Caenorhabditis elegans: one gene and its partner. The protein of the gene in region 1 purifies or fractionates together with the protein of each later gene. This does not show direct contact. Each region holds a gene or a part of one and is shown on either strand. Other genes may lie near its edges.

Region 1 (15,605 bases):
AAAATATATATAATCAAGACATTTCAAAAACGAAAGAGACCGATTTTAAGGAAAAGTTAATACATTTTTATAAGACAAAGCGTAATTAATCAGCTTCTGATTCTCGTCTTTTCCGTTTTTCAGACGAATGACGTGGGGATTCACTCCTGGAGGGACTACGTTTTCGGGATTTTTTCGACTTTTTTCCTCTCTCTTCATCGTCCATTCTGTCTTCCTTTGAATGCTTCTTTTTCTTTTTCTTCTCTTTTTCGCGGATTTCTCCTTCCGACTCCGAGTTATTCTGAAATTAAACGATTTTAATAGGAAATTATTAATCTATTTAGAAAAAACACCTACATCGCTTCTCTTATTCTTCTTCTTTTTATCCTTTTTCTTTTTCTTCTTTTCCAAAATTTCGCTTCCAGCAGTAGTTCCACTTGTTCCGTTTTTATAATGATTAAATGCAGTCTCTCGTTCATCGTCATTCTCCATGGCAAGATAAGCCTTATCTTTTTCAATCTTTGGCTTGATTACAGTCCATTCGGAATCTTTATCGACATTATGCTCTTTCAGTAGATTTCTGAATTCGCTCTCCAGTCTTCTTTTCCTTCTCAGCGACTCTTTTTCCTCATCCTTCGCCTTGCTTTCAGCTTTTTCAATCAGTGAGTTGTAACAAAGTTTCATGTTTCCATGATCAACTTTTCCTCCTTTCTCATGAGAAACAACCCAATCAGAAAATTCCCTGTACTCGGTTGTTGCTATCACCTGACACCCTTTCTCTGTTAAAATTTCTTTAATGAGACGGCGGTCTTCGGTATATTGCTCCTTGAGATCTTCAACAAAAAACTTGAAAAGATCAAGTGGAGACGATCCAGGTTGGAATAGCATAAGTTCAAATCGAGTGTCTGTTGAGATAATAGGAAACAGGGAAGTCCAAAGTGACATGGAAGTGAGTTCTCCCCTCTTATGCAAGCTCTCCAGCAGTAAACGATATTCTTCTCGTACTTTTCGTTGTTGCCTGCGGAGTCGTTTCTCTTCTTGCTCTTTCTCCTCGTCGTGCTCTTTCTCGGCTTGTTTTATATGATCTTCGAAAACTGTGAGCGCATCTTCCTTGTCCATAACTGAAAAACAATTAAATTCGAATTTTATAAGAGTCAAAATATTTTACAATGCAGATCCTTTCTCTCCGCGAACTGAGGATTTTCATATAAAATTCGTTGTGCTTGAGCCCATGTAGTTTTGTAAGTTATTTGCTCCATACTCTGAAGAACGTGACTGAAAGCTGCAATGTCTCGTTTTCTGTCCTCTTCTTTTTTCTCCTTGTCCCTACGAGCCACGAAATCCTGGAAAAATTAACAATAACAATTCTCAAAAGCCTTAGAAACATACAATACAATCTCTAAAAATCTCTTTTCTATCCTCATCATTAACAGCAATCCAAAGTGGCTCCTTGCTGAATATATCGCTGGCTTTTTGGTATTTGAGGCTTTCTTTCATTTTTGGATGCTCTTGCAAGAATTTTTCCAAATCTTCTTTAGACTTTTTGATTGCCAGTCGTTTTTCATCCTGAAATTTAATAAATAATTATAAAAACTTTGCAAGCCGTGACTTTGCAGTCGTAAATATTCACAGAGAATAATCGCCCGCCGAAAACCGCGCCGCCGCCTTGCAAGGGGCGGAGTCGCCCCTCCCACCTTTCCGTGCGCAAATTCTTACTGCGTTTTCCGTTTTTAAAGTTAATTTCTTCTCTCCTTCTGCAAATTTCCAATCATTTTCAGGTCAAAATGGCTTCATTTATCACTCGTGCGGAACGTTCTGGTAATATTTTTTCGCGAGTCACTGGACTCATCCGTGCTGGTCAACTGAACTGGGCAGATCGTCCTTTGTGGTAAATTTTTACTCATTCAAGCGGATATCGTGATATAATTATCATTTCAGGTATGATGTGTACGTTTCATCTCCACCATTAACACCGCCAGATTGGAATGTAAAATTAGCAAAGTACGACGAACCAATTCGCTCTATTTTCTACGAGGAAGATGTTCTCAGAGCGTAAGTTTTGGTTATTTCAGGCGCTGACTATTTAAATTGTTTTCTCTATTCAGAAAGTTCTACAAGACATACAGAAGTACGGCTGGTATTCAAGTGGATAGCTCAAGAACAAGCGTCTCTCAGCAGTTCATCAACGAATATAAACTAGTCAAATCAGAAAATGCAGAGGCAACAGATGATCAGTTGTTCGAGATGACACAAAAACGTCTCAACGAGAATGGAATCGTTTTGAAATAAATGCTAAGTTATAGTTTGTAGTTGTTCATAAATTTGTTTTTCGTTTCAACTTACTCTTTCTTCTTTTCCTCTTTGAACTTTCCAAGCGTTAAATAATTGTTTCTTTTCTGAGACTTTGTTCAGAATTCTGAAACGAGGATCATTCTGGATCCATTTTACAGCCTGATCCCAATTGCAATTCGTTGTTATCTTTCCGTCATTATATTTGTCACGGAGCAGTTCACGGAATCGTTCTGACTGCCGTTTCTTCAATTCAACTTCATCGTTCACAGATTCTTCTTCTTTCTTTTCAGACGGAAGAGGTACATTTGGCATTGATGCGAGGGTAGCCTTCATGGCTTTGTCTAGATCGGATTCCGCCTTCTTTTGCTGAACAGCCGCTGCCAATGCGACAGTGTCCACAGTTGCAGCCTTTGCTGCTGGCTTCTGTTCTCCTTCTGAAATAAATAATTCAAATTGAAAGATTCTCTAGATAAAATCTTACTTGTAATTTCCTCTCCATCTGGTTTAACCCATTGCGTTTTCTTTGTAAGGGTATTATAATAATATGGTTTTCCGTCATCACTCATGAATTCTTTCCATTGACCTTGTTGTGGCTGTCCGCTAGTACTTCTCTGAAATCAGACTTCAAGAGCGCTGTAAACTATATTTTTCACTTACCTCGAGTGGAGTTTTTAAGACGTCTGGTTTTATCCATGACGTTTGTTTCGTTACACGATTATGATAATAAGGTGTACCCTTTTCATTCGTATGCACACTCCAATCAGATTCGACAGATGGGGATGAGTGGGATTCGTCTATGCCCATTCCAGGAGGTACCAGCATTGGTGAAGGCCTCGTCGGAGCTGCAACGTGCGGAGCAACTACAGAGTGGGTGGGCATTTGGAGGAGCGGAACTTGAGCGATAGATCCAACTGGTGGCATGCCAACTGAAAATGTTTGCATTAATATTAAATTATTTTATTAATTAATTGGCCAATTTTACAAATTTATGAAAAACTTGCATCTTTGGTTCAGGAGAACTTGTTGAATGTTAGCAGCCGCTACTAAATTGGGATTAAGAAATGAAAATCCATTGGGAAGCATTCTGAAAATTACTTGATTAAAAAGTGAAAACGAAAGAAACACCAAGGAAAATGTAGCATAAACAAAATTTGTGGAAAAATCGAAGAAAACTGAAACGCTGCGTGCCCCCTTTCGATGCAATCTATCGTCGGAAAATACGGTGGGGCGCACTTGCTTGCACCAGAAAAGCGCAATGAACGAGGATCGCGCCAACGTGATGATTGACGCATTCCTGGAGCAAAATTTTTACAATACACTTTGTTCCCAATTTCTCGTTTCCTATTGCATCAGATGTTTTTAATTTTTGATTCAGTGTCGGAAAATTAGAAAATGAGTATAAAAATAGGTGTTAATGATATTGCTTTCTGATATTTGTTCTCTGCTGCGCTCGTAAGTGCGATAGCATAGGATTTTTGTATATAATATCCTTTCCTTCTCCAAATCTGTAGTTTTTTTTAGTTCTTCTGCAACTTTCTCGGTACAAGTCTTCATGGCTGTTCCATTATCTATCCATTCGTTAATTGTGCTGTGCTCGCACAATTTTTCGAATTCCATGATTTGCGTCATAAATCCTTCATCGTTTAATATTTCGCTAATATAATTATGAAGATGAACTGATATTTAAATATTTTACAGATGACTTTGGGTTCCGAAACGAAAACTGATGTCGAAGTGCCGATCATCAATGGGAAGCACGAAATTCCTCAAGAGGAAAACGACTCAGGTCACTCGTCGATAAACACTCCAGACTCATCAGAACCAGGTGAGAAAAATCTAAAATTAGTTTTTTTTTATCCTTGAGTTTCAGATAAGCAAGTCGACAAGTTCGTGAAGATCACTATTCAACCATCTTGTGGAGACGCTTTCGAGCTACATGTCAGTTTTTTCTTTCCTGATTTTAGAATCCAGACATTTTTTCAGCTCAGCGACAATGAGTTGGTTCAAGAACTATACCAGACGCTGCTAGACCGTGAAGCTACTTGTCATAGAACTTGTTTCTCCTTGTATTTGAACGGAACAGCCGTAGACAACTACTCTGAAGTCCGTGCTATTCCGGGATTCGTTGATGGGTGCACCTTGAACGTGGTCGATGAGCCATACACCATTCGTGATGCTCGTCTCCACCTCCGCCAAGTCCGTGAATTACTCAAATTTGGACTTACTGAAGATCAGCACGAGCCCCCGTGTACCAATGATGCTCAATCATATTTGACAACAATCAATTTGCAACCAGAAGAAAAGAAAGAACCAAAACCTTCCGATATTCTTCCACCAGATCATGCTCTTCCAGGATGCAAAGAACGCTCCCTTGCTCATCTGCTTGTTCCACAACCAAAAGAGCTCATTGCCCTTAAAGATATCGCATTCTCTCCGTACAACCCTCCACCAGGACCTCGAAAGCTCAGAGGAGATGTCTTGTACATCGACATCACAACAGTTGAAAATCGCATCTACCATGTCACCTGTTGCACTAGAGGTTTTTATGTGAACAACTCACAAGATGGACGGTTCGATCCGACAGTATCGAATTCCAATAAGACTGTCTACCAAAGCGTCATTGAACTACTTCAAAATGTCAGTCCAGGATTCAAGAAAGTATATCCTCAAATTTTGAAGCGGCGTCAAGAAAAGACACTCGTTGAGCGACTTCCAACCAGTTACCCAGTTTCTTCATGGGTTGGAAATCCATTGAAAACTGATGGGTACATGAGTGACTCATTGAGAGCCATTGAATTGACAGAGCCGTTCCGGGTTGGATTTGAAGATCATATGCCAGGACTCCTTCGTGATTGGAATGAAGAGCTTCAGACTACTTTCGAGATGACCCGTAAATCCATTTCTGAGCGAGTAATCCGTGATCGAAGTTATTACAAAATTCATGCTGATTACGTAAATGCTGCTGCGAGAGGTGTTCAATCTATTCTTGATGGAAATATATTGGCTATAAACCCAGGAGAGGACAAGAAAACTCATATGTACATTTGGAACAATATCTTCTTCAGTCTCGGATTTGACGTCAGAGATCATTATAAGGAGCTTGGAGGAGACGCTGCTGCTTTTGCTGCTACATCGACCGATCTTCAAGGAGTGCGGGCATTTGCAACTCTTGATGATCCAAAACTCAACACTCTAGGAATGGCAATTTTCGATTATCGAGGATATCGTGTGACTGCACAATCCATCATACCAGGAATTTTGGAACGCGAGCAAGAACAATCTGTTGTGTATGGATCGATAGACTTTGGAAAAACTGTCGTCTCTGATGAAAAGTATCACGAACTGCTCGAGGATGCTGCTCACAAACTGAAAATGCTGCCTCACACCGTTATCAGCGAGAAAGACGGAGTTAAGGAAGAGTTGAAGCTTTATACAAGCTACGAAGCTAAGGGAATAATTGGAAACGATGGTAGAAAATACGTTTTGGACCTTCTTCGTTCAATGCCTCCAGATGTTCATTATCTCGATGACGCAGAGGTCTCTGAGGCCGCTAAAACACTGGGATATCCACGAAAATTCCCGCACAAGCTTTCGGCTCTCCGCCGTGAACTAATTGATGCGTTCTGTGAGTCTAGATTGGTCACTTTCATCCAGTTAACTGCAAAGAAGATCCGTGATCTGATTACCGAGTCAAAAGAGAAAAATGATGAAACTTTGATTAAGCAAGCAGGTAATCATTTCGTACAAAACTTTTCTTAATCAAATTATTTTTATTTTTCAGCCGAAGCAGAAACTGAACTATCACTACTCTTTATGGCCATCAGCGAAGATAAGGAGTTTGAAGCCAAAAACAAAGTCGTTCAAGATGCTATCAAGGAAGCTTGTGCAGTTGTTCATTCTATTTATGAAGATCGCTATGTTATGAAGTTCAATCCGGATTGTTTCTCATCAAATGTCAAACATGCACCAACAGAGAACCTTGAACGACAACGCCGTGTTGTTGTGGATGCCGCAGATTTCCTCCTTACCCAGAAGATTCCAGAGCTTGTTCAGAACTTGAAAGATTGCGTTGTGCAACCAATTGATGGAGATAATCTTGCTGACATTATGCACATCAATGGTATCAATATTCGCTATTTAGGAGAAATTGGAAAACGTCTTGAAAACAGCGTCTCATTTGCTCGTCCACTTGTTCTTTCGGATATCGTTGCTAGATCTGCAAAGCATGTCATCCGCAAGATCAATGTTCAAATTACTGCTGATCAACTCTCCGCAAGTACATCTCACATTCTCAACTGCCTATTCTCTGTAGTTTTGGATCCAAGCCCTATTGCTGCGAACGTTGCGAAGAAAGCCAATAAGAAGAACGGCAAGAAACGAGTTACATCTGCCTGGTCTTCGTTAACCACATCAGCACTTTGGAATAGTATCCGTGAAGATTCTGCCAGCTATTATGGATACCCGATTGAGGCCGACTCCCTTGAAAAGTTCACCGAATTGCATGATATCCAAAAAACTGCTCTTTTCCGCCGCATTTGCAAAGTCATGGGAGTTCAGCTCGTAGCAAGAGATTACCAATTGGATAACTCTACTGCAAAGAAAACATCAATTTTCGTTGAAGATGACATCATCAACTTCTTCCCAATCATCAAGCATCATGAACCATTCACTGCTGATGCTAAGAAAATGTTCATTCGTGGACAACAAGCGATGTCTATTGGTGCCTCCCGAGAAGCTTACGAGTGTATTGGCGAATCACTAAATCTCATGACACTTGTCTATGGTGTAATGCATCCAGATATGCCACAATGTTTGAGAGCTCTTGCAAGATTGTCCCACGTTCTTGGAGAAACTGGAGATGTAAGTGTCTTATCATTAGTTATTTTGGTTTTTAAAACAATTTAGCCGCATGAACACTGAATACATTGGAAATTGTAATATATAAAACCAATGCCGTATAATTTTCAGGCTTTGAACAACCAGCATAAGGCAGCGGTCATGAGCGAACGGTTGATTGGATTGGATGCAGGAAATACCATTATTGAATATGTAAGTACTATTAATAAAAAATCATCTGCATTAAATATGTTTTATCATCTTTGTTTTTCGATAAACTTGAAGAACAATGAGAACAAAATAAAGGGAATTTTTCTGCAATGACATTGAACATTTTTCAGATCAATTTGGCCCATTTCGCATTTGGAGCACTTCTCATTCCTGGATCTCTTCGTCCATTGTACCGTGCGAGATATCTCATGAATCTCGTATTTGGAGAGAAACATCCTGTAATGGCTCAAATTGATGCCAACATTGGACTCATTTTGTTCACTGTTCAAGAGTTCGACACAGCTTTGAAGTACTTGCAATCGGCTGATGCTATCACAAAAACTATTGGAGAACCGAGAAAGCTGAAGACTGGATTGATTTCCAATTTGATTGCCCGAACACATGCGGCTCGTGGAGATTTCCGAGCTGCTCTAGTTGCTGAAAAGGAAACATTCGCTATTTATTCCGAACTCTATGGACCAAATCACCCAAGAGTCAACGAATCGAGTGAATATCTTCGCACGCTTACTCAACAAGCTGTTACATTCCAAAAGAAAATGTTGAAACTTGACAATAGTACAAACATTACTGAATTGTTCCAGGTAATATTAAATTTTCACAATAGCAAAAAAATCGCAATATTTTTATAGGCTCAACCTCCAACAGTTACCTCTCTATTTGATACCTTAAACATCATCAACGGAATACTGATCATTGGTGTTCCTGGATTGTCTTCTCTCGGAAAACAGCAAAATGGGACGACTGAAGAGAGCAAGACTACAGATGTTGCTGCTCAGCTTGACAATGAGACTCTCGATTAGAATTGATTAGATATCACCCAATTTTTTGGAAGTTGTTTATCAAATTTCAAAAAATTTAGAATTACTTGTTCGTTGATTATTTTAGTTTTTAATAGTGTATAGCATATAGATCAGTTTTTGTTTCTTTTTGTTTTGTTTTTTTAGGTGTAGATATCAGTTTAGTAAATAACTTTTTTTTTGTTAGAAAACCGTGACCGCATTTTCGTTGCTTTTTTGAAATAATTATATGAGATAATTGCACCGTTTCTTTCTCTGATAACCAAAAACATTTGCTCAATTCCAAAAATCAGCCTGAAATTTTCAAATTTGCTCAGGAGCATTTCCCTCATTTCCCACAACTTAATCAATCACATGTTCCCGTTTTCATTGTCTTCTCCATCTATCTGTAACCCATTTCCTTCATACATGTTATGACTGTCGTTCTGACACGAGTGTCCATCGAAAAACTAATCATTTAAAAAATATACATCTCTGATAATCCGAGTACACTCCATCTTTTGTTACACTGATGCGTTTGTTCTCCTCGTTACCTGTTTTTTTGCCTTAGGATTCAAAGCCTTGTAGTTTAGTATGAATTTTCGTTTTTTTTTAAATTTTCCAATCAACTGTTATAAAATGTTTATTGTTTTGTTCTTTCTCCAATAATAAAATCTGAAAATCTATTTTTTGTTTCAGTTCTAAAATTTTCAGAAAACTTAAAGTTTCATTCTTTAAATATTTTGAAATATCTTGTGAACAAAAATATGAATTTGTTAATCAAGAGTATCGCTTTTTCCAATTTGTCAGAAAAAAAATATATAACTTCCATTATTTAAGAAAAAAAGTTGCAAAAACTGAAAATTGTGTCCATTTTATTTTTTTAGCAGTAGAAAATTATATTTTCTTGTTTTTGCATTTTTTTTGTTAAATGTTTTAAACCATAAAAAATTTTATCCGATTTTGTTCATGTTGATGAACAAAAAAATTATAAAAATGTAATTGTCCTCTAAAAATGAGAGACTTTAAAGCTTTTTCTCTCTTATAATTAAATTTGTTTTTCATAGAATGGCGAGTGATTGGAGACGACAATCAACGAGTAGAGGAATTCCGAATGAGGGACAAAATGATGAAAAAGGAAAACCGCTCATTGTGAGAGAATATTTAAAGTAAAAAAAACAAAATTATGAATTTCAGGGAAGATCATTTCTGCTCGAAATTGAAAATCGTATTCTACGAACAAACGTGGCAGAAGGATTACATATTTCTGGTGCTACAATAATTGATTCATTTGATGATGCTTCCCCACAATGTGTCATCTCCGATCACCCGATGGCTCAAAAATTAGAAAAAGCAAAGAAAGATGACCCTCTTTTTAAAAATGAAAAGGTACACTTTTACTGGTAAAATTAAAAATAAATAAATTAATCAAATTTCAGATGCTCAAAATAATGCCCGCACTTCTTCGACAAGCAGTGAACAGAAATATTAAAGTAAGAAAATCGCCAAAAAACCCAAAAAAATTAAAAATTTGGTTGACAAATTTGAAAATTACTGTTCTTTCAGAAATTAACAGCAAAAAATTATATAAATTAAGTGGGCAAACAAATTTCTCAAAAAAATGGAATAAGACAAGTTGTTTGATGAGACATATTGGAAATAACGCTTTTTTTCAAAAAAAAAAAATCATAAAATAAAATGTTCAATTTTTAGCAACTAAAAAACTAAATTTTGAAATTTTTCGACTTCCCCCTAATTCTTTAAATTTTCCAATATTTTCAGGTCAGAACACCGGAAAGATTTTTAAATCAAATGAATACATGGCTGGATCGCCAAGGAAAAACGACATCAGCAACTACATCAAATAGTACAATTCGTGGAAAACCATCATTCGGCCGGGAGAATAGTGCAAAAATTGAACGAACGACTCCGAGACTTGTGCCAAGAATGCCACGTGTCAGCAGTGATCAGACGTCGAGTCGGCCGAAGGAAGAACGATGTTTTCTAAGAATTGATGTTCCTGGAAAAAGACCAGAAATTCGGAATGTCTCGAAAGAATCATTTTCAATTGTTTATTCTGGAAGAGACACAGGATTTTCAATTTTTAAAGCAGCAGAATCGTCACTTGTGGAAAGAAGGTATTTAGTAAATTGTTTTTCTTCTATTTATATGTAAATGCAATTATTTCAGGCAACGAGAATACGATTCATTTTTGAAGGGAAAATATGAGCCATCTAAGAAGACTTTCAAATTTGATGAACGAGATAATTATTGTCAGTTCTGCCAAAAAACGATTCTTGGAGACAGGAAAGATGTAAGAATAGAGAAATTCGAAATTTTGAGGAGATTTTATAAAATCGAAATATTCAGAAATTCAGAAATTCCACAAGAGAGAAAAAAAACAAAAAATCGTGAATTTATAGAAAATTGAACATTTAAAACTTGATTTTTCAGCACGAAAGAACCGATGAACATCGCAATAAGGCTCGAACTCAAGGAATTACTCAAACAATGGAAAGAATTGTTTTGAATGCTCGATTACGAGCCGAACGTCAGGAAGCGGCTTTGAAAAGAAATCAAAGAAAATCACGAGAAAGTGTGATGTTTGTAGAAAAGTCGAAACGAGCAAATGTCGAGTACGAATATGGAGAAAATGAAATTAAAGCGAATTGGCTTATGCTGAAAGCAAATACAGTGGAAAAGACGACTGAGAAAACATCGAGTAAGATTATTTTATTTTCTTGAAGAAAAATTGCTACAATTGATTCAATTAGGGTAATAATGGCAAACTCCGTGATAACAAATATGATCAAAATCTTTACGAGGTTTGCATTGTGAAGGAACTTTACATCCTTTTCCAGTACTTTGTGCCATTATTTCATTGATAAAGAGCATTGAAATAAGAACAACCAACATCTGAAATTGATTTAATAATAAGAACTATTTTTTATAGATTAAGGCTAATGTTTTTTAACTCAAAATTACCAGAAAAAAATCGGATTTCATAACGAAACTTGAAAAATTTCTCAAAAATTTTTATTGCGTTCAAAATTTCGAAAATATGTTAATTTTAGCTAAAATTCCGGATTTTCTTTTTTTGTGTTACAATGGCCGGGAATTTTTTTATACATTTATTATTGTTCTATTTGCACATTTTTCGATTTTTAGTTCCTTTCGGTATAATTAAATCCGAAAGGTATTCAAATTTAAAAATTCTAAATTAACAAAAATATTGTGAGACATTTAAAAAAAATTAAATTAAAAAAAAAACCTAAATTCCGGCTGCTGCGACACGGAAAGATTGTCCAAAATTGATGTTTTAGCTAGAATTAGGACGTTTTTTTTTTCGAAATTTTAAATTAACCTTTTGGGGTCACCTTTAGGTAAAATAATTTTTTTAAACTTACGAAAGATACAATTCTCATTATTGCCAAGTTGAAGTTTTCAAGTGAATAATTTGAAAATATTGAACATTTCCTCTGAATTTATACCATCCATAATCACATGTTTTATGTCTTAGGCGCACTGAAAAACATGAAATAAATCATAAGGAACTTCCTCATTCTCTCAGTCAACCTTTAGTTAATTGAATAAATTGGCCTTAATTCGAGTGTTTGTTTTGATATATATGTTTTGAATAACTAAAAGTAAAAGATACAAAGATCACAAATTCCAGTTCTTTCTCCACGTCGACGACAGAAAAGAATGCGGTCACTTTCAAGTCAAGGAGACATTTAATTTGTCATATAACATTCTCATTATTACTATTCGATCTCTTAAAATGTGTATTATCTCACTACAATATGTAACTGTATATTTGTATCAATTCTAGTACTGGTTATTCGTTTATTTCTCCCCGATTTTATAATACTTATTTATTTTACGGTTATTTAACTTTCAGCCCAATTTTTTGTTTCATTTGCATTTTAACTTCGGTTTTAACAGGTGCATAAATATTTATTTCTGAATTTATATAGGCTCGATGCATTCAGATAGAAATTTGATTAGGCAATTAGTGAACATGGAGAGATGAGATCGTAAAATTGTAGAAATAAATAAATACGGGGGATATGGGACAACGGGGCAAGGATAGGCGACAATTCTACAAAAATTACTTATTGCGCCATGTTTTTCCAACATTATCTAAAAAAAACAATAATTTCTGCTAAAAAGTTACCAAAAAGGGCCTGAAAATTCTCGATTGCGGATTACCGAATTAACGAGTTTTGTTTTCCGGCAATTGGCAACTTTTAGGCCATTTTTTATCAGTTTTTAGATGAAATTATTGTAAATTCCAGATAAATCATGTGATTCTCTATAGTGCGACACAAATTTTTGATGAAAATGTTGGAACAACATGGTGCAATAGGTAATTTTGTAGAATCGCCACCCATTCCTGGTCACTGGGAGCAAGGGTGTCGTCGAAAAATTTTCGATTTTCCGAAAACAAAATGTTCAAAAAACTAAACAGACATTAAAAAATTATTCGAAAAAATGAAAATTTTAGATTTTTCGACACCCAGAAGACAATTAATCAGACATGGAATGACTGGAAGTCAAATGATGAAGTCCTTCTTCTTCAGGAAGTGATTGACGCTTCCAACGTGGATTCAATACAAGAAGGAGAACACAGACAGTGTATAGGAAAGTGAAGACTCCGACGAATGAAGATGTTGCTTGTTGAGCACACATTTGACCTTCTTTAGTCCAGCAACTGAAAAAATAATTTATTTAAATATATTAACTTTTAGATCTTGGAATTACTTGTTTTTTGGTGAAAAAATAACGCTTTTTTCAAAAAAAGTGAGCGTTTTCGTAGAAAAAGTTTTTTGTTTCAGATTAAGCTGAATCATTATAACTGAATTCCAACCCTGAATCCAAAAAAAAGTCAATTTTTCCAGCGATTTTTTTGATATAAATTTTCTTCTTTTTTCTCGAAATTTTACGATTTTTGCGCTAAAAAATACGGTATCCGGTCTCGACACGACAATTGTTCGTCAAATGCAAAAATTTATGTGACTTCTTGTTGCGGAATTTACATCGATTTTTCACAGTAAAATCACATTAAGTTTGCCGGTTTGCCGTGAAAAAAAATTCTGCAGGGTTTGAGATTACAGTACTCTTTAAAGGCCCACGGCCTTTTCGTATTAATAAATTTGTCGTGTCGAGACCGGCAAAAAAATCGAAAATTTTAGCGTCTCCGTAATAATAACATAAATCTTACGTATGCTTCCATGCTGCTCTTTCCGAAATTCCCATGGCTACAGTAATCGAGACAAAAATGAAGATGAGCACACCGAACATTTGATGGAATGGCATAACGAGTTGACGAATCGGAATTGGCATTCCCGGGAAGAAGTAGGTGATGAATCCGACGATGTATTGTGCAAAGTAGAGAATGACAACGGATAGGCCAATCCATGAATGTAAAGAAACCAAATTGACAATTGGTGCTGGATTTCCAGATGGATCCTTGTGAAGGTTATGGTAGTCAAAAACTGCTTTAAGTGCCATAAGCATGAAGACAAGAACACACGAATGAAGAATAACATGAAGAGTTTTACTGAATTTCTTTCTTTCATTACGGAATACACGATAAACGAGAAGAGCCTCTCCAAAAAGGAAAACCATTCCCATAATCATAAAAGTCGGATGATAGTTGAATTCCTTATCAGGATCCTCATTCCATGCGAATCCACTTTCAAACTTGCTCATCCAAATGGTAACCAGAAGAACGGCGAGCCCTCCGAATACTTGAGACATAACGAGAATTATGTTGAAGAGTTTCACACTTTGGTCCTCCCGAAGGATAACAAACCCCGGATCGAAGAGGAGCGACATGTCTCCTGAAATTAATTTTCAATTTTTAAAATTTTTCTTGAGTATTTATGTACACGAAGTTTTACGCATGATTTTAAGATTAAAAATAATATAATTGGGTCAAAACTGAGATTATTCAAAGATCACAATTATTGCCAATAACATTCAAAACGGGTAAAGCCAATTTTGATTATCACGAGGTGGCAACTCTATCCCGAAGGCTTCGGCCGAAGCAATATGAACGAATGAGAGAAGAAATGAACACGAACGAGAGACTCCTAACCGTCTGTGTCTCCCGAATCTGTCAAGAGAGTCGCGCGCCTAAAATCAATTCTTTGTTGTTTTTGTGTTTTTGACAGGAACATGAAATCCGAAACAATACAATTTTAAAGTAAAGAAAATAAAAGGGCATTAAAAACTTTTCTTTATCTAAAGGGAAATTATCTTTACAAGTTCTAATATGCCAAGATATCATGGTAAAACCTTTCAAAACAATTTTTTAATTTTTGACAAAAAGTGGCCAAGTTAATAATTTTGTAAGTCGACCAAAAATTTCAAAATTTTCCCGAAATGTGGGATTTTTGAATAATTTCGAGGATTACTGTAGAACCCCTTTAAACTTTAATTACATAAAATTGAAACTCAATTAAAAAATAAATAAAATTGTAACAATTAATTTGCGTTTCAATCAGCTCGTAATCAAACATTCTACGGGTTCGAATCTCATTTTTTGAAAATGTGGCAATTTACCAAAACTTTGAAAAAAAATGTTTTTTTTGGGTTGTGCTCGTTACTTTTACTCGCTCAGTGTTGTGCTCATTACCCAAATGAGAGTTTTTGGAACCAAAACAAAGATACTTGAAATCAGAAAATTCAGCTATACGAATTTGAAATTTCTAAATTTAGATTTAGGCTCACAATTTCAATTAAATAAGAAAGTGATATTTAGGTTTCTATGAACTGTTCAAACAAGTTTTCTATTTTTTTTGAGAAATAAAACTTATCAAAAATTGTAAGAAACTATTATAGCTCACTTTTCAGCAAATTATATGTAACGTGGAGCGAGATGCTCAATGAGCAAGAGCCACATTTAAAAACGTCAGTCAAATGCCTGAAAGAGTGAGAGAAACCGACGAAAAGAGGCAGAAGTGTAGAAGAGAAAAAGAGAAAAAGAGGAAGGGAAACCGAAATGGGATATGTCATTGAAGGGCCAAAAAGAAGGATGAGAATGAGTAGAAGAAGAGCACAAACAGAGTGAGTGAAGAGGATTAATGGATTATAAAAAAATAAATTAAGAAATTTATGAAACTTTTTGAAAATTAAAAAATTGAAAATTTTTTAAGTGGTATTTAATTAATCTTAATTAAGAATCCGCCCCATATCTAAGTGCACTAATACAAATTCAGAATTTCAAGAAGATGACATTACATAGAAACCCATATCGAAATTTAGAGAATAGGCAAGGAAAATGTTCTGCCGAACAAATTGTGAATAGAAGGGCTCTTCACACGAATAACGAGCCTCTCCGTCTCTCACACTTTAATTTTCGTATCTTCAATATTTTAGACCACACGACACCACTCAAACCACTTTCCAAAAACGCAATTATAAATGGCTCTTCTCTTGCTCACAGTGTCACTTTCAGTCGACGACGACATAATTCAATAACGG
Region 2 (17,827 bases), on another chromosome or scaffold:
TTTTAAAATTCGTTTGACAATGTATTTCAGACCCCTGCCGTATTTGCAATGACTCCTTAACTTCCGGCTTTCACTTCGGAACCTCTTGCTGCATAGCTTGTGCTGCATTCTTCAGAAGGACCGTTAAGAATCAGTTCACATGTAATGCAAATAATGATTGTGTTATTTCTTTTGGTTAGTTAACATCAAATTATGATGTCTTAAGCTAAGATTTTCCAGAAAAGAAATTCACCTGCCGAGCTTGTCGCTACAACAATTGCCTCAAAGCTGGAATGAGGAAAGATTGTAAGTAACTTGAAAAATACACATTTTTTCGGTTTTCTATAAATAGGTATTTATTCCAGATATTCGAAAAATCAATAGCAATTATGTTCCGAAACAAAAATGTGTTAACGTGGATGCTTCAAGTTAGTTATAAATTAAACTACTTATTCCCTAATCCTTAAAAATTTTCTAGGATCCATTGGCACATCTAGTGCCAGCTCCAGCTCCTCCGAATCGAGCCCTTTGGTATCTCCAATAATTGAAAAGCCAATTGGAAAGTATAGCAAAATTTTGAAGAGATATCCACAGGAGTTGCTACAGTTTTATGTGAAAGAGGTGGAGAAGACGATAGCCAACAGGAGGAAGAATAGTTCGAAGGTAGGTGAGACATGGTAGGCAATTTGACAGGAGTTTGATTTGAAATTCCATTATTAAACTTTGACGACTTATATCTCAATGGCGTTTGTTTTATTGAAAAATTGTCAACTGACAAAATATTTGCTAGATTTTTTCTATAGCTTTGTAGTTGAAAATTGTTTGATATATTTTAATTGAGCCGAGATATTATATTTCAAAGGGAAATAGTTGTGTCGTTTTGCCAATGTACCGGGAATTTTCATTTTCGCCAAATTGCCAATTTGCCGGAAATTTTCAATTCCAGAAATTTGGTAGTTTGCCGATTTGCCGGAAATTTTCATTTTCGGCAAATTGCCGGTTTGCCGATTTGCCGGAAAGTTTCATTTTCAGCAAATTGGCGGTTTGCCGATTTGCCGGAAATTTTCAATTCCAGAAATTTGCTACTTTGCCGATTTGCCGGAAATTTTGATTTTTGGCAACTTGCTGGTTTGCCGATTTGCCGGAAATTTTCAATTCCGGCAAGTTGCCGATTTGCCGATTTGCCGGAAATTTTCAATTTCGGTAATTTGCCAATTTGTCCATTTTTCCCGTTTGCCGGATATCAACTTGCCGGAAGTTTTTAGAGGGATTTTTTAAAAGACGGAAACACTTAAAACTAGGCCTTTTTGAAATTTTTTCCCCGTTTCTTAAAGATAATTTTCGATCAGTTTCATGGCAAATTGATGTTAGTGTCAATTTCAAAACACATCAAAAATGCATATATCAAAAGTTAGGAGCTTGTAATGAAAATGTTAGGAAATATCTGAAACAGGGGTGGGGGCAAACGATTTTTTCCGGCAAATCGGCAAATCGGCAAATTGCCGGAATTGAAATTTCCGGCAAATCGGCAAACCGGCAAATTGCTGGAATTAAAAATTTCCGGCAATTTGCCGAATTTGTCGACAAATCAATTTGCCGCCCTCCCCTGATCTGAAACCCCAAAATTATGGGGTTACTTACAGCAGGTCCCATAACAAAGCTAGTTGATTCCAGAACATTCTCCATGCTAAATCAATGAATGAGCTCATGGTAATCACTGCTCATCAAAGTGGATCAGCAATGGAAGCATGCATTAACTGCCCTGGAGTTTCTAAGTTACATCAAAAAGATATCAGGGTACTACATAAGTACTTCCAATTTTTGAATGTTTGGTTGGATTCTGTCAGGGAATATTCCATGTCAGATGGGGCTCACTATGAAATTGGAGTTGACAGGTGAAATGTTTCTTTTATTTATTGCTACAATTTAAACTAATTTTTCAGAAAACTCTCTGAATTCATTCACCAGGTCAGGACAACATTGGGATCTTCCCTGGCAAATTTGAAATTGAACATGTATGAATACTCTGCTTTCAAGTTGTTTTGCATCTGGAATCTGAAATTCCACAAAACCTCCACTGCTCTGAAAATTGTTGCTCAAGAGCACTATGAAGGAGTTTGCTCCGCGCTGAGAAACTATTATGAGACACAGACAAAAATGGACGATTTTGAAATTGCAATTAGGATAGGGGATATTACTTTGCAAATTGTTACTGTATCGGTAATTTTAAGTTGGAATTTTGTGGATAAAGACAATTTTTGTTTCAGGATATCTATCACGACTTCATCAAGCTATTGCTCAATTCTGGAATATCTATTTGACGTTGTGACATTTGTTTTATATTAAAAGACGTTAAAGTTCCAAATAAACATTTGTTTCGTAGACTTTCCGTCGCCTTTTGTGTCCCCCAAATGCATTTAAATGTGTCAGACGGGAATAGATTGTGATCCATTGGAGAATGCCCTTGTTTCGACGGAATAAATTTTCAGATATTGATTTCAATTTTAGAGGAAAATATACGAAAACTGAAATATTTTGTGTCATCTTTCCGAAATTCACGTTTTTAGGCTCAAATGAACAAGTTCGGCGACACGGAAAAAGGTTTTTTCCGACAAACTGCAAGAATTGAAAATTTCCGGCAAATCGGCAAACCGGCAAGAGACTGATTTACCGAATTTGCCGGAAAAAACGGCAATTTCCGTACATGATAATTATCTTGCGTTTTCAAAAAAAGTGATTTGAAAGAAATTAATTTCCAGCCGCTGCGACATCAACAAATCGGTCAAATTTCCAATTTTAATCATTTTTAGGTTATTTTTAGAGCTGCGATACCTTTTTTTTTTGAGCAGTTTCCAAGAAATTTCATTATGAAATTCTGTGTTTTCAGGCAATTTTGGGTCTAATAAAGCAATAAAAAATTTGACTACAAAACCTTCAAATTGCATTTATTCGTGTATTTTGAAGGTAATTTATTTCAAATTACTAAATTACAGGTTATTTAATATTTTGGTGCATTTTCAGACGATTTCAACAATTTTCAACAAAAGGCTTGTAGAACTTCTTACATTCAAACTTGTAGGATCGGCAGCTTCTTGCTCAAGTCTTGTTGAAGCTGCAGGTAAATGCCGGAAAGCTTTCCCAGAATCCACGAGCAAAGGTCATGGAGCTAAAAAGTTTGATTCAATATTCTATATAAAAACATTTTCCAAATGAAACTTTAGCCAAGAAAAATGAGACTTTTCAGAATTCGTCAAAAAGCACCTGAATTTCGCGTAGACCTCGTGATAAGAAGTGATCGGAAAAGCTGAGCAGAGTGGGGAAAGGGGAGTGGTGAAAGATGAGAGATTTTCTGAAAAAAAAACTTCAATTTTGAAGAAACTTTGTAAAATAAATTAATTTTAATGTTTTCCATTTAAAAAATAACATAAAAATCTACGATTGCTACTGAGAATTTCAAAAAATTTGAGTAAAATTTGCGTTTTTCAGTTAAAACAGTACTTTTACACATGCAAACTGTTAGCCAAAAATTATATCATTTTGTTGAAAAAATATCAAAACCCTTTTCCAAGCTTCACAAGATATAGTAATGTATTTTGAAAGCTTCATTATATGTGTTTCTTCATTTCTTTTTGTATCGATGCCCGTCTGATCTTTTTGAAATAGAAAAAATAAAAATTGAAAATTTTCTGAAACGATATCTCTCCATATTCCATATGAGTAATAATGCCTGCCTGCCTGCCTACAAGATACGGTGTTCAAATCAAAGTTAGAAACAACACACATCGGAGGTCAAAAAGCCACCTTTTTTTCTAAAATTTCCCAGACAATTTGTCCTAAATTTTCGGGTAATCTTCAATTTTAATCTCTCCCGAAAAGTTGCTCGCACACATTTCTCTTTTTATCGCCACTCAATCAATGTATTTTGTAGCTAAATTTTAAAATTTTGAATTAAAAAGCCTGACGGAGAATTAGATTCCAGAAAAATTATCACAAAAAGGTTCAAAGTTACAAGGTTCATTTGGAGAATTTTTTCAAATAAGAAATTGAGTTAATATCCCGATATTCCGGGTCTAAAACGCTTCTGTCAAACGGGAAAAGAAGATAATCGTAGAGGTAGATTTTGTGCAGGTATTCACGAACAATCGGATCTTCTCGAACTTGCTTTTCAGCTTCCAGACGTTTGGTCCATTTGTGAGTAGAGTGAGCAGTCTCGGTAGCTGCAAAATTTTTAGAAAATTTTTTAAAAAATTATTAGAATAAATTATTAGAATAAAGTATTAGAATAAAAAAGAACCTACTCAAAATGTCTTTATAAATTTGCTCAACTAAAGTGTCACGGACGCCTTGCTTTCTTAAGATATCTGCTAATTTAGCAGCCGACGAAATCCGATCTTTGAGGTCCGAGTCCATAGGCAGCAGCTCCCAGTTCTCAACTCCCTCGTTGAATTTACAGTTCCTAGAAAAAATAAAATCTTAAAATAGTGCTCAATCCAAAACTCATTATTTGGTTTTTCTGAATTTAAGACTTAGCCTAAGCTTGTGGCTGAACACAAACCTTAGACTTAGCCCAAGCCTAAACCTTGGCCTAAGCCTAAGCCTAAGCCTAAGCCTAAGCCTAAGCCTAAGCCTAAGCCTAAGCCTAAGCCTAAGCCTAAGCCTAAGCCTAAGCCAAAGCCTAAGCCGTAAACATCGCCGGAGTATTGGATTGAGTACTTTTTAAAGAAACTTTACAGAACAATAATCTGGTCGAAAAATTTCTACTGATATACTTAGCCGTGCCACAATAAGATCTCACTCACCAAGTCGTTGGAGCAGCATGTGCCTCAACATACTCAATTCCCGCAGCTTTAGTCTCATTATTCTGAATCTCGACGAATGACTCGTAGGTTTTCTTCGCGATACACCGCATATCGGTTTCACAGTCGAAACACCGTTTTTCACTTAAAATTATCAGTTTGAACTTTGACTATTTCAGAATTTGCAACTAACACGACACATTTGTTCAAGTACATCGACACAAAACGGCGAAACGGATCCCGCACGAACACAAATCGCACTGCGTCCTTATCGTTCTTCAATGAATCGGATGGAGTCACAAAGTTTGTCTCACTAGTGCATTTCCTGGAAAAAAAAGGTGAGGCATTGAGTTCCTGCACACTACCTACCTAGTACTTGTCTCCCAAGTATTCGTGAAATTGTTTTTATCCTGTAGGTACTGCGTTTCGTTGTACAAGAGGCACATCATGTTGAGCGTCAGCTGAGACATAGACTTCCGGATTTCGCAGGCAATAAGCTTGTTGTCCGGAGCCGTCTGAATTATAGTTTAAGCAAGATTGCGTGCCTGGCCCCTGCTTAAGGTTAAGTTAAGGCTTAGGCTTTGGCTTGGGCTTAGGCTTACGCTTAGGCTTAGGCTTAGGTTTAGGCTTAGGCACATGCTTAGGTTTAGGCTTAGGCTTAGGCTTTGGCTTGGGTTTAGGCTTAGGCTTAGGCTTAGGCTGAATCTTAAGCTGAGGCTTAAACATGGGCATTGGGATTTCCGTGGGATTTCCAAAAAGCTTCCACATTGTTTGTTAGACCCTAAAAACCCCAAAAAACTATTTCTAATCTCTCAGAACCCCTTTTCAGGCCATTTACTTGACATAGAAATCAGCGAAAAAATTCACTGGAGCACTTTCAAATGGCGATTTCAAGGGTTCAGAGTTGAGTTCCGCCGCTGAAATTTTTGTGGTGATCTAGTCTAAACATAAGCTTTCAAATGAAATACGTATCGATTTAAAGTCCGGGACTAGATTGACCTCCTTTCCTTGTTAGGCTTAAGCTTAAGCTTAGAAAAACCAAATAAATAACACAGGTCTTATGCGAAATTTGAAAACTTTCCTAAATTGATTTGAAACGATTTTCATTTTGGCTCTCAAGCTTTAACGGAATGCTCAAAAAGTAGGCAGTAGGCAGGCTGAACAACAACTCACGAAAAAACTGGGTGCATAGCTGATAAACGGCTTTATGAAACCATCGGGGTTGAACCCTAAAACTTTTAGTATTTGGTTGAAAATAATCAATAACAAACCTTTTAGGCTTTTAGGCTTTAAGACAAAATATAAAATTATCAGAACAGAAACTATCATCAATATTTTCATTGTTGATTTTTGCATTTTCTTCCGGAAAAAAAGAAGCAAATGATCTTGGAAACCTTTGTTTATAAGGGCACAGAATATCCCAAACCGGATTTTCGAGCGACAGGACTTGAATTTGATTTTAATCTGGACACCTTTTTGAAAGAAGAGAAACGGAGATCTAAAATGAATTTGAACGTTTTCCTTGTCTGTAGAGAAACTTTAGAGTGACTTCACAGCTGAGCTTTAAAAGTAGAGAGCTTTAATGGGAATTATTGGCCTCACTGACATGCTTCTTTGTTTTAGAAACAATCAAGATAAAGATGATTTCATCTCAAAATAAGTATGAACAAATAAATCCGTTGAAGATCCTTTATTCTACGATAGAAAGTATTTTCATTCAGGTAATTGTTTTCTAGAAAGAAAGCCTGGCGAGATTTATACCTATTTTCAGAGAAACTATAATTTTGCTGGAATATGAAATTTCGGATTTTCAAAAATTTGGGGCAAACTCATTTGCCTGCTAGGTAGGCACAAAGTGCCTTAACTTATCAAAACATGGTGCATTGACTTTTCTCCTTTAGATAGGGAGCAGGGCTGTGCGGCAACCGACATCCGAGTTGCCGGTTGCCGAAATTTTTTCGGAATCGTCAGCTTCGGCAATTGCCGGTTGCCGGAAATTTTGGGTTCGGCAACTTCGACAATTGCCGAACTTTTTTCCGCAACTTCGGCATGCTAATATTTCGCCGTAAACGAGAAAACGACCATTATTTTTTGCCAAAACGCTCAAAAATATAATTTTAAAAAAACAACTTTAAAACTTGGTTGCCGGTTGCCGAAAAGTTGCCGAAATTTCGGCAATCGAAAGTTGCCGGTTGCCGAAAATTTCTGGGTTCGGCAAATTCGGCAATTGCCGGTTGCCGAAAATCCCGGTTGCCGCACAGCCCTGTTAGGGAGTAGAGTTTTTGGCGCTTTTTTTTCGCTGTAATACAAAACTGATTCCAAAAAAAAGAATTTCATAGAAAAAGTTCTCGAATAATTTTATTTTTTTCTTGGCGGGTAAAAAATTTCAACAAAAGCTTATCTTGCGCAAGAAAAATACACACGAGTTCCGAATTCCCATCCCTTTCAGCTAAATTATCAATTTTTCAAACTAGGATACGAACCCACACAAAGAAGTGCCTTTGAGATATTTCACCTAAGAAACGGAGATCATTTCCGCGATTAAAGTAAATTCCGACACGAAGTCCGTCGGATTGAATCGAAAACGTGGTTGTTCGCCAAATTGAAACTTTGATAAAACTATTTGAATAATTCCGAACCATCACTATTTACAGACAAAAAACTTCAAACCTCTAGAAATCAAGTTCCGGAAGGAATTTATCAATATTTTTTAGGTACATATGTTTTTACTTTATTCAAACAATACAAGTTATTCAAAACCGCTGTGTGTGCGCAACGTAGTGCAAAAGGTAGTTTTTTGGAAGCGGCCGACACGTTCGGGGTTCCGCGTTTGGGGTGACGCCGTTGCGGCGACTTCATTGGAACTAGGGCTAAACAACCGGACGTCCGGTCGTCCGAACCGGACGCACATGCTTCCGGTTGGGGGTAGCTATCCACGACGGCCGACAATTTCCGAGTTTCGCCTCTCACTATAAAATTGCTGATTAAGTATAGTGGGTGGCGAAACTCGGAAATTGTCGGCCGCCGTGGAAACCTACCCCAAAACCGGACGCAGTGCGTCCGGTGGTGTCAAAATCGGACGACCGGACGCCGATTTGTACAGCCCTAATTGGAACCCTACTTCTCAACTCAATTCATTCAAATTAGCTGGAAAAACTTTACACTCCTGAAAATAAAGACTAACAATAAATTGACAAATGTGAATTTTTATTTTTATTTCAAAAACAAAACTAAAATACTTCTCTAGCAAAAATATGAGATACATAGATTAGACGATGATACGTGTACCCGTTGTGAACAATCCTTCAGTCGTGTTGTATACCCAATTGGTGACATTATCCATCGCAGCTTTGCAGATTCCACCAGTGCTATGGCATACGTCGGATCTGAAAACTTTGCCGAGCTTGTACAAATTTATGACCTAACTATTTCATTCGATAGCCCATGGTTTGAAACGATTTTTCATGAATTTTAAGCTGCGAGGCTCTAAAACTAAGCTCACGGCGAACTTTCAGAAAATACTTCAGCGCTTCTATTTTCCGCAACTTTAGAGTTTGGTAGATCAAAACCTATTAGAAACTATTTCCACTCCTGTGACCGTGAATTTTTTATTAACAAATCCTTACTTGACTTTGGCTATGCACTTATTCAAAGTCTCAATTGGCTTGTACGAAAATGCAGGTGGTGAATTTTCGAAAATCTTGTTCATCTGAAAATCTCTTTTTTTTTTCTATTGATATTTTTTCCTCTGACTCCCAACGCCTACCGTATCATGCATATTCCTAATATGCCCAGCTGTGTCATTTGGGAAAAATCGATAAGACTTTCGAACAATTTTCGCTCGGATTTGCTTCACATTGAACCGAAAGTGTAGAACAGTGCCATTTGCCATTTTTGTGTAGGTGGACTTATGAAGGAACTTTCCTGGGGAATGGGTTTCACAGATATCAATAAGAGAGGTGTTGAAGATGTACTGAAATGTGTAGGATTGAAGTTTTAAATTTTCCTAGACCTAGGCCTAAGCCTCAGCTTAAGCCTAAACCTAAGCCTAAGCTTTAGCCTGAACTTATGCCTAAGCCTAAACCCCGCAGCAAATATTACCTTGGGCGGTGCGAAAATATCGGTGAACGTCAGTGACCTCACTCCTGAGTAGTTATTCGTATAAATATTAGGCGTCAGTGCAACATGTGTATTTTCAAACAACAATGCTCCAATATCCTTCCCGGTCATTTCCTTCATCGCATGATCAAGTACAGTACCCTTATCGGGTACCATAACCTCATCGAAATCCGCAACAATACCCAAAGACGTCTTAATTTCCAGAGAACATATTTGAAGAGCCATATGAGTTGCAATAATAAACACACTTTCATCAACTTTTGGGTACATCGGGGAAATATTTGAAGAGAGCTCGCCAATGTTGGGCCAGGGTCGTAGCTCAATAAGCCCCAGTTTTTCATAGTAGTCCAGAACTTTTTTGGTGTCTTCTGTGGATGAATGATAAAAAACTATAAAACGAGTTGCTCCCTGAGCCCGCCAGGCTTCAATGTATAAGATTACGTTTTGCCATTGAGAATAGTAATAGACGATTTGTAGGCATACAGTGAGGCCTCGCTCGTATTTTTTCCCGATTTCCTCAATGGCAAATTCTATTTCTCGGTCTTCCCATCGTATGGTAGCCTGAAAAAATAAATAGGTCAACTATCTGAGGGTCATAGGCTTTATCCTTATCCCTAACCTTTGCCTAAGCCTAAGCCTAAGCCTGAGCCTAAGCCTAATAGTAAGGCCATTTGTTTAAGGTTTCCAAACACGTTTAACTCAAAAACTATGATAGCTAGAAAAATATTTTCAACAAACAAAATGTTGTCCATTGCATTTTCTACATTTTCATCAGTGTCAATATAATATAACTATATTCCGGAAAAAATTAGAGCAGCTAAAATGACATAACTTTTGAGAAATTTTAGACAAATTTGAGGAACTGGAAATTGGAATTATGTATATAGAAAGAGTCCCATTATTGATGGCAATAAAAGATAATTTCAACGTTTTTTTAAAACAAAATACAGCCCAATAAGGAATAATTTTGGCCATGCACATGAACTACTTCATCGATTTTTCGGCTGCCGGCACCGGCACAAAATTAGTGGGAGTTGCTCAATTAATTACATACCTTCTCAATTATTCCATTGTCTGGAAGCACCCCATAAAAAGTGTGTGGAACGTAGAAACAATGCGTGGCAGGACCATAAACCGGTGGACAATTTTCATTGAAGAACCCAAAAGGATCTCCCAAGAGTTTTACTTCATTCGGAATGGGACTTCCTCTGTTGTACACATCAATTAGTAGATAGGTATTCGGTTTAACGCATGGGTTTAGACTGAACAGCCGGAGACGGGGAGGGTTGGTTCTGGAAGTTTATTGATTTTTTCACAAACATTTGGAAAATGATATTAATGTTAACCTACCTGTAATCAATATATGCCTTGTGGTAGAAGGTTATTGGAAACGAAGAGTTGATTGGTTGGCCTCTCGAACTTAGAAATGTTATCACTGGATGAAAAACCAGTAAGTACAAAAATATAGGAATTAGAGAATAGAAAAGGTATTTGTATTTGAATCGAGTCATTTCGAAATTGAAACAGCAAGCCGCTCGCGAGAATGCTTTTATATTCAGACATTCAAATATAGGCATTCTTATCTCATCTTTTACCGTGAAGTCTCCGAAGAACGGATAATCCGAATTTTGTCGGGTGCGATGGCATCGGTGTAATCGAGTTTCTGAGTGAGAAAGTCAATTTTTTGATTCTGCCACTTTCAATTGGGCTGAAATTACTTAGAACGAGTTTTTATGTACTGGGTCATAAAGTATTGCTATATTCAGATTTAAACATCAAACTACATTTGCGTGTAAACAAGAAATTTTGTTAAAGATGGAGTAGCGCCAGTGGGAAAATTTTTAAAAACTAATGGTCCCAAAATGAAAAAACTTTTTTGAAAACTTTTTATTTACTGTCAAAAAGTGGCAATTACTCAGTTTTTGCCACTCATAAATTTGGAAGCCGACCAAAAAAATTTTTTCGACATTTTTTATGTTTTAATTTTGTTAAAATTATTTGTATTAAAACATTGTAGGGGTCGAAACATGCGACATTTCTTTAAATTTATTCAAAAGCTTGTATTTTTCAAAATTTTGGCAATTTTCCAAAACTTTGACCGGAAATTATGAAAAATCTAAAACTTTTTGGAGTGTTTTATTATGATATTCGGTTGTTTTGGATCATTATAAAGATTTAGACAAAATCCCCAGGTACTTATGGGTTTCGTTCCCCCAAAATGATTTTTAATTATTTAACACTACCTTTTTAATTTTAATCCACACGTGAATGTTTATTTTAATACTGTTTTCATTTTTACAAGGCTTAGAAAATCATTTCCCTAAGCCTGAGAATGAAAAAAAGTTCACGTCTCAATCAGAAAATATGGAAAAATCATTTCCCCAATTGCGCTACTCCACCTTTAATACAAATATTTTAAACAAAATTAAAACGAAAAAAGGCGAAAGTTTTTTTTTTTGGTTCCAAAATACTTCCAAAATTATGAGTGGCAAAAACTGATAGTGAGTAACTGTCACTTTTTGCCAGTAAATAAAAAATTTTCAAAAAATTTTTAAAAAGTTTTATCATGATGTTTGATCATTTTTGGACCAAGGGTGTGGTTTTTAACAATTTCCCCACTGGCGAGAATAATTGAAAAGTTCACAGCTGTGACGTCACAAAAACTCAAATATATTTTTTCCCCATTTTTGTGTGCAATGAAGCTATGGGACAACCTGACACCGCATGCCGATTGCAGGAAATTTTGAAAATCGCTCCTCATGCTCTATTCTAGATTAATACAGGACAGATTACACAGATTTATTTGTAGAGCTGAAGACATTAATTCCCTTTGTTCCACCGTGGAGATTTGCAAATTCAAGTCTTTTTGATTTTCATCTCACTTTCCCGAATTATTCCCCCCATATCCAGCTTCTGATCTAGCACAAGAAGACTCAGCTTTACGACCGGCTTTTGTAGATATCTGCCGACACAATCGAGGTGCGTGGCAGCATTTTGTGTGGATTCGGTGGGAAATGTATTCTGATTCTGGAAATGGGGAAATGAATTTTGGGAAAGGAATGTGGCAGGTTATTATTTAGGCCTGTGGCAGTATAGGCCACTACAAAAAATTCAGAGCACTGACCAACTTTCAAATCATATGGATCTTGTCTGAAAAGAGGACTGTAACCAATAGTCCGATCCTTGAAGCTCAGGCTTAGGCCGGCTTAGGATTAGGCTTAGGCTTTGGATTTGGCTTTGGCTTTGGCGTTGGCTTTGGCTTAGTATTAGGCTTAGGCTTAGACTTAGGTGTAGGCTTAGGCTCAGGCTTGGGCTTAAGCTTAGGCTCTGTACTCCCCAGTTAAGGTTCGTCAATTCGTGTACAACGGTTTAACTAAACTTTTTGGGTTTTTTACAAAGGACACGGCATTTCAGGAGCTTCCGAGCGGGTGCTTTCTTGAATCATAGCATTCGTATTTCTGAAAATATGGTGAAAAGACAAAGCTATCCATCGGAACACCAAAAATCCACTGGATTCCGGTTTCCCCTCGCCTCGGATTCTCTATCCGTAGATCTATGTACCGATGATATCTCTGCACCTTGCTGGCTTAAAAGCGCTTTCTGGACCGAAATTTTACATCACTCCGCTGTCATGCTTCCGTACTCCCGATTTGATAAGCTTCGGCTAACCGAACGACTTCCAATGCGTAGTCTACCCCGATTGATTTTGTTCGGCGCTTTGGTATTTGTGGTATTTATGCTCTATTCCAACTATAATGACAAGAAGCCGCTAAAGGAGGAAAATGAACTTAATGTGTTCAAATGGGCTCCACCGCCGGTTAGACATGACACTGCGAGAAATTTAACGTCGTACAAGTCCTCTCCGCTTTTTGATGCTTATTATAACTGCGTCTACCCGAAGTTGAGACCGCTCAAAGGGAAATATGTTGAGGTAAGTTCCTTTCAAGAAAACTAGGTTAGAATCGTCCAAAAACCTTCAAAAATTTCAGTTCTTCGACGAGTTCTCCAGTCTAACTGAGGAATGCGACAATCTCAAAGCCTACAATGCGCTGGACATCCGTCACGTGTACAACAAAGACGAGACAAAGTACATAGCTCTTCCTCGGAATCAGAGCCAACTTCTCACAATGGTCACACTTGGTATCGGACACGATATTATGGGAGAGATCAGTTTGAAGGAGCTTCATCCGAATACTCAATTCTATGGAGCCGATCCATCTCCCGAAGTGAATAAGATCCTCTATGAAGATAAGCTGGGAGGAAAGTACTACCGATACGCAGTTAGTGGAGAGACCGGAGTGCAGAAATCAAGTATTTATACAGGTATTTTTTGTGTGCTTTTTTGTTAATTAGCTTGAGCACCTGTAAATTAGCTTGAGTACTAGCAATTTCCGGCAAAAAAACTTTTGCCGATTTGCCGGAAATTTCAATTCCGGCAATTTTCGGGTTTGCCGATTTGTCTGTAGAAACATTCATAGGATGCGTACAATTTTGCCGACTAAAATTGAAATTCTGAATTTTCCAAAAAAAAATGTGCAAAACCACAATTGACGGAAAATTTTCACCAATTGCCGTTTTTTTCTGCAAATTTGGCAATTTGCCGATTTGCCAAGTTGCCGGTTTACCGATTTGCCGGATATCATTTTGCCGGAATTTTTTAGAGGGATTTCTTACAAGACAGAAGGACTTAAAACTGTGACCTTTTGAAAAAATTGAAATTCTTAAATTTCCAAAAAAAAGTGAAAAACCACAATTTGCCGAAAATGTACGGCAATCTGCCGTTTTTCCGCAAATTCGCAAATTTGCACTTTCTCGGTTTGCCGATTTGCCGGAAATTTTCAATTCCGACAATTTTCCAATTTGCCGGAAAATTTGAATTCCGGCAATTTTCCAATTTGCCGGAAATTTTCAATTCCGGCGATTTGCCGAATTTCCGGAAATTTTCAATTCCGGCAATTTGCTGATTTCCGGAAATTTCAATTCCGGCAATTTTCCAACTTGCCGAAAATGTTCAATTCCGGCGATTTGCCGAATTTCCGGTAATTTAAATTCCGGCAATTTGCCGATTTACCGTTTCTCGGCAAATTCTACATATCAGCACTTTGCCGGTTTACCAATTTGCCGAAAATTTTCAATTCCGGCAATTCGCCGAATTGCCGGAAAAAAATCGTTATAACTAGACAAAAATAGAAAACCAAAATATCAAAAAAATAAAATATTTATCTAGCTTTTTTCAGAGCAAAAAGAAGAGCTGGCTTACAGAACCGAGACCACCGAGCACATCGCAGTTGACTACTTCTTCAAGTACATCCTCAACAAAAGTCTGATCGATATTCTATGGATTGATGTCGAGCAGAATGAGTTTCCGATAATGGAGCAACTTCATAGAAATGGAGCAATTGACAATGCAGGTGTCACAATTTGTCAGATGAATATTGAAGTTCACAGTGGAGTATTCGAGCAACCAATTGGCGAAAAGCAGATGTTTCATGATTTTGTGTGGAGAGTTCTTGAAGATAGAAGATATATTATGTTGAGGTCTTACTATGCTGATCCATTTATTCGAACTTTTATGATTAATGTTGGAGATGAGGAGTGTAGGAATCCATTGTTAGAGTGATTTAGTTTTTGTTAATAATTATTTTCTGGGTAGCTGTTGAATTCTGTATAATGGCATTTTTCTTTTTTTTCTCAAAATACATTTTTTTAAATTATGATATTTCTCGCAGTACATTTTAAATTTTCAGATAATTTTCAGATTTTTCAACCGGAATTTTTCATTTCCGGCAATTTGCCGGTTTGCCGGTTTGTCGAAATTTTTAATTGCAGCATATTGCCGGTTTGCCCATTCACCGAAAATTTTCAATTCCGGCAATCGTGCCGATCTACCGGAAATTTTTTTTTCGGCGTTATTCCGACATGCCGGAAATTATAATTCTGGCAACTTGCCTGTTTGTCGAAAATTTCAATTCCTGCAATTTGTCGAATTTCCGGAAATTCCCATTTCCGGCAACTTGCCGATTTGCCGAAAATTTCAATTCCGGCAATTTGCCGATTTGCAGGGAAATTTCCAATTCTGGCAATTTGCCAATTTGCCGGAAATTTTCAATTCCGGCAGTTTGCCGATTTGCCGGTTTGTCGAAATTTTCAATTCCGGCAATTTTGCCGATCTGCCGGAAAAATTTATTTCGGCATTATTCCGGAATGCCAGAATTTTTCAATTCCGGCAACTTGCCGGTTTCCCGATTTGCCGGAAAATTTAATTCCGGCAACTTTCCGGCTTGTAGGAAATTTCAATTCCGGCAATTTGCCGATTGGCCGATTTGCTGGTAAAATTTGTTTCCGCCCACGCCTGGTGCAAGTCTCTGAAAATATACAGAAAAGACTTTGAAAATATACAGAAACTCGGCTCAATAAATTTGGAAATATGTACCTAAATCGGCAAAAAAGCGTCCGTGAAATTTGAGATGAGTTCCGCTCAAAATTTGTTCTTTTTTCCAGAACTTTGAAATTTTTTGAAAAATTTTAAACCACGAAATTCGGTTTTAGGGGCCATCTTATGTAATCACCGAACTTTAATTTTCAATTGAAGATTCTGCTTGAAACATTTTTTTTCTATGAACAATACAAATTCAAAAATGCTTGTTCTAATTATCGGAACATCCGTTTCTCCCTACGAATAAAGATCAGATAAGAACGCAGAAATACGGCTTTCAATGAAACAAGAAGCATGAAAAATGAAGTTTTCCTTCGATTTCTTGCCTGTTTGCTTGTATTTCACTATATTCTACGTTTACCCAAGGTTTCAGAATCAGAGCTTATTAAAAAACCAAATAAATGCATCATTTCCCATCACATTTTATCACAAGGTTTATGTGGATTACAGGTTTTTTTAAAAAAAATTTTCTGACAATTTTTTGGTAACTTAATTCCAGAACCAGTCCACCCCGTCTAAGAATATTTAGCTTGAACCCTTGTATCAAGGCAAGTAACTACTTACTAGTACATGTATATTATAACGGAACGATTACAAAATTGAAGCTTAACGGATATTCCTTTGGATTTTACGAAGGAAATTGCCCACCGGTATATGGTCCCGCAAGGAATTGCTTCTATGTTCCGCACCATTTTTATGGGGTGCTTCCAGAAAATGGAGTAGTTCAGAAGGTAATCCCCGAGACCAGATCCCAGGTCAGAGCCCATATCCCAGATCCGAGACGCCAGACCCCAGACCCCAACCATTTTTTATACTTAATTTTCAGGTATCCATCCAGTTGGGCCACCGAGAAGCTTTCCTCTCCGAAATCGTTGAAATTGGAAAATCATATGAAAAAGGCCTCACTGTATGCCTACAAATCGTCTATTACTATTCTCAATGGCAAAACGTAATCTTATACATCGAAGCTTGGCGGGCTCAGGGAGCAACTCGATTTATAGTCTACTTTCATTCAGCCACACAAGACACCAAAAAAGTTCTGGACTACTATGAAAAGCTTGGGCTCATTGAGCTACGACCTTGGCCAAATGTAGGAGCCCTCTCTTCATATATTGCACCTTATCACCCGAAGATAGATGACAGTGTATTCATTATCGCATCCCATATTGCTCTGCAAGTTTGCTCTCTAGAAATTCGGACGGAGCTGGGCATTGTCGCCGATTTCGATGAGGTCATGGTTCCAGGGGATGGTAGTGTGCTGGAATATGCGGAGCTGGTGATGGCTGGGAAGAATATTGGAGCATTGTTATTTGAGAACACTCATGTCGGATTGGAGCCAAATATTTATACGAATGACTTTTCTGGAATGAAGACTCTAACGTTCATTAATATTTTTGCGCCACCCAAGGTAAGCATTTTTTTTATTTCCGACAATTTGCCGGTTTGCCGGTTTGTCGAAATTTTTAATTCCATCATATTGCCGGTTTGCCCAGTCACCGAAAATTTTCAATTCCGGCAAATTTGCCGATCTGGCGGAAAATTTCTTTCGGCATTAATCCGACATGCCGGAAATTTTAAGTAGTTGTAGGGGTGGCAAGAGTGCGACCTAGCGACCTGCGACCTAGCGACCTGGGTCGCTTTGTGACCTTCACTTGAGTTGTTAAAATCTGTATAACTCGAAAACTACATAAGATTGCAGAATATGTATACTAACAAATTGCTACAAATCATTTATTTTACATTGTTTTCGATTTCTTATCCATAAGACACCTTGTCGAAAAAAGTTAGAACAGCCGACATCCGCCGGTTTTGCTGCTGACTAAAATTGTTTCAACTTGAAAAATATGGTACTTATGGGTTTCGTTCCCCCCGTCATGTTTTAACTTTCTAAATTTCAATTTTTTTTTTGTAGAATTGTAGAATTTGTAGAAATCAATGCTTTTGTTGTGTATTGAGCGAGAGACAAGGAGAGAAGTCGTTTATTACAATAGGTGTAAGAAGTAATGAATAATAAAGAGAGGTCGCTTACGCGATAAGTTCATGATGACCCAAAGGTCACGTCTGTATAAAGCTCAGGTTTACGTTCCGTCCACAACAGCTTTGTTCTGTGCTTTTTTCTACGTTTTTAATTCGAAAAGTGAAAAATTAAATTTTAGAAACAACGCATAAACTTGTAAAATCTTAATAGAGAAAATGTTAGTGGAATATACATATTCTGCAATCTTTAGTTTTCGAGTTATACGGATTTTAACAACTCAAGTGAATCAAAACCGAAAGAGAACAAAATGTCGGTAATTCAGGTCGCAATGCGACCTAGGTCGCTAGGTCGCAGATCGACCTATGTCGACCTATAGCCACCCCTAAGTAATAGTACCTAGCCTAAACCTAAGCTTAAGTCTAAGCCTAAGCCTAATTCTTAGCCAACAATATTTGAAATTATTTTTTAAAAATTGAAAAAAAAAACAATTTTCTGGATCCAGAATTTTAATTCAAATTG

Evidence for each region.
Region 2: the proteins of mrps-23 (region 1) and bah-1 fractionate together in Caenorhabditis elegans (co-fractionation; one large-scale study listed by BioGRID). This does not show direct contact.

What each region holds. Positions count from the first base shown.
Region 1 is NC_003281.10:9,509,825-9,525,429, reverse strand, and holds mrps-23 (Small ribosomal subunit protein mS23), read left to right. Parts: upstream 1-1,757; 5' UTR 1,758-1,763; coding exon 1,764-1,867; intron 1,868-1,917; coding exon 1,918-2,031; intron 2,032-2,084; coding exon 2,085-2,268; 3' UTR 2,269-2,309; downstream 2,310-15,605. Other genes in the region: prp-40 (WW domain-containing protein ZK1098.1), read right to left, coding at 86-280, 337-1,100, 1,148-1,322, 1,369-1,545, 2,323-2,705, 2,753-2,882, 2,929-3,197, 3,273-3,354; clu-1 (Clustered mitochondria protein homolog), read left to right, coding at 3,970-4,096, 4,142-4,209, 4,255-6,001, 6,053-7,131, 7,240-7,320, 7,449-7,919, 7,968-8,138; F55H2.8 (FIP (Fungus-Induced Protein) Related), read right to left, coding at 10,881-11,030, 11,522-11,539; F55H2.7 (uncharacterized protein), read left to right, coding at 9,183-9,266, 9,312-9,503, 9,554-9,607, 9,897-10,252, 10,305-10,428, 10,569-10,836, 11,791-11,852; F55H2.5 (Putative transmembrane ascorbate-dependent reductase CYB561 homolog), read right to left, coding at 12,645-12,828, 13,339-13,955.
Region 2 is NC_003279.8:11,457,751-11,475,577, reverse strand, and holds bah-1 (Glycosyltransferase family 92 protein), read right to left. Parts: upstream 10,437-17,827; 5' UTR 10,406-10,436; coding exon 10,245-10,405; intron 10,187-10,244; coding exon 9,949-10,186; intron 9,456-9,948; coding exon 8,877-9,455; intron 8,749-8,876; coding exon 8,542-8,748; intron 8,485-8,541; coding exon 8,402-8,484; intron 8,162-8,401; coding exon 8,044-8,161; 3' UTR 7,966-8,043; downstream 1-7,965. Other genes in the region: nhr-113 (Nuclear Hormone Receptor family), read left to right, coding at 31-174, 220-285, 345-407, 458-642, 1,654-1,874, 1,923-2,199, 2,247-2,300; ZK1025.8 (sulfotransferase family protein), read right to left, coding at 3,994-4,196, 4,278-4,435, 4,779-4,919, 4,969-5,100, 5,145-5,290, 5,949-6,004, 6,047-6,116; ZK1025.3 (Methyltransferase FkbM domain-containing protein), read left to right, coding at 12,526-12,825, 12,884-13,217, 14,132-14,514; gtnt-53 (Glycosyltransferase family 92 protein), read left to right, coding at 15,632-15,780, 15,830-16,061, 16,157-16,738.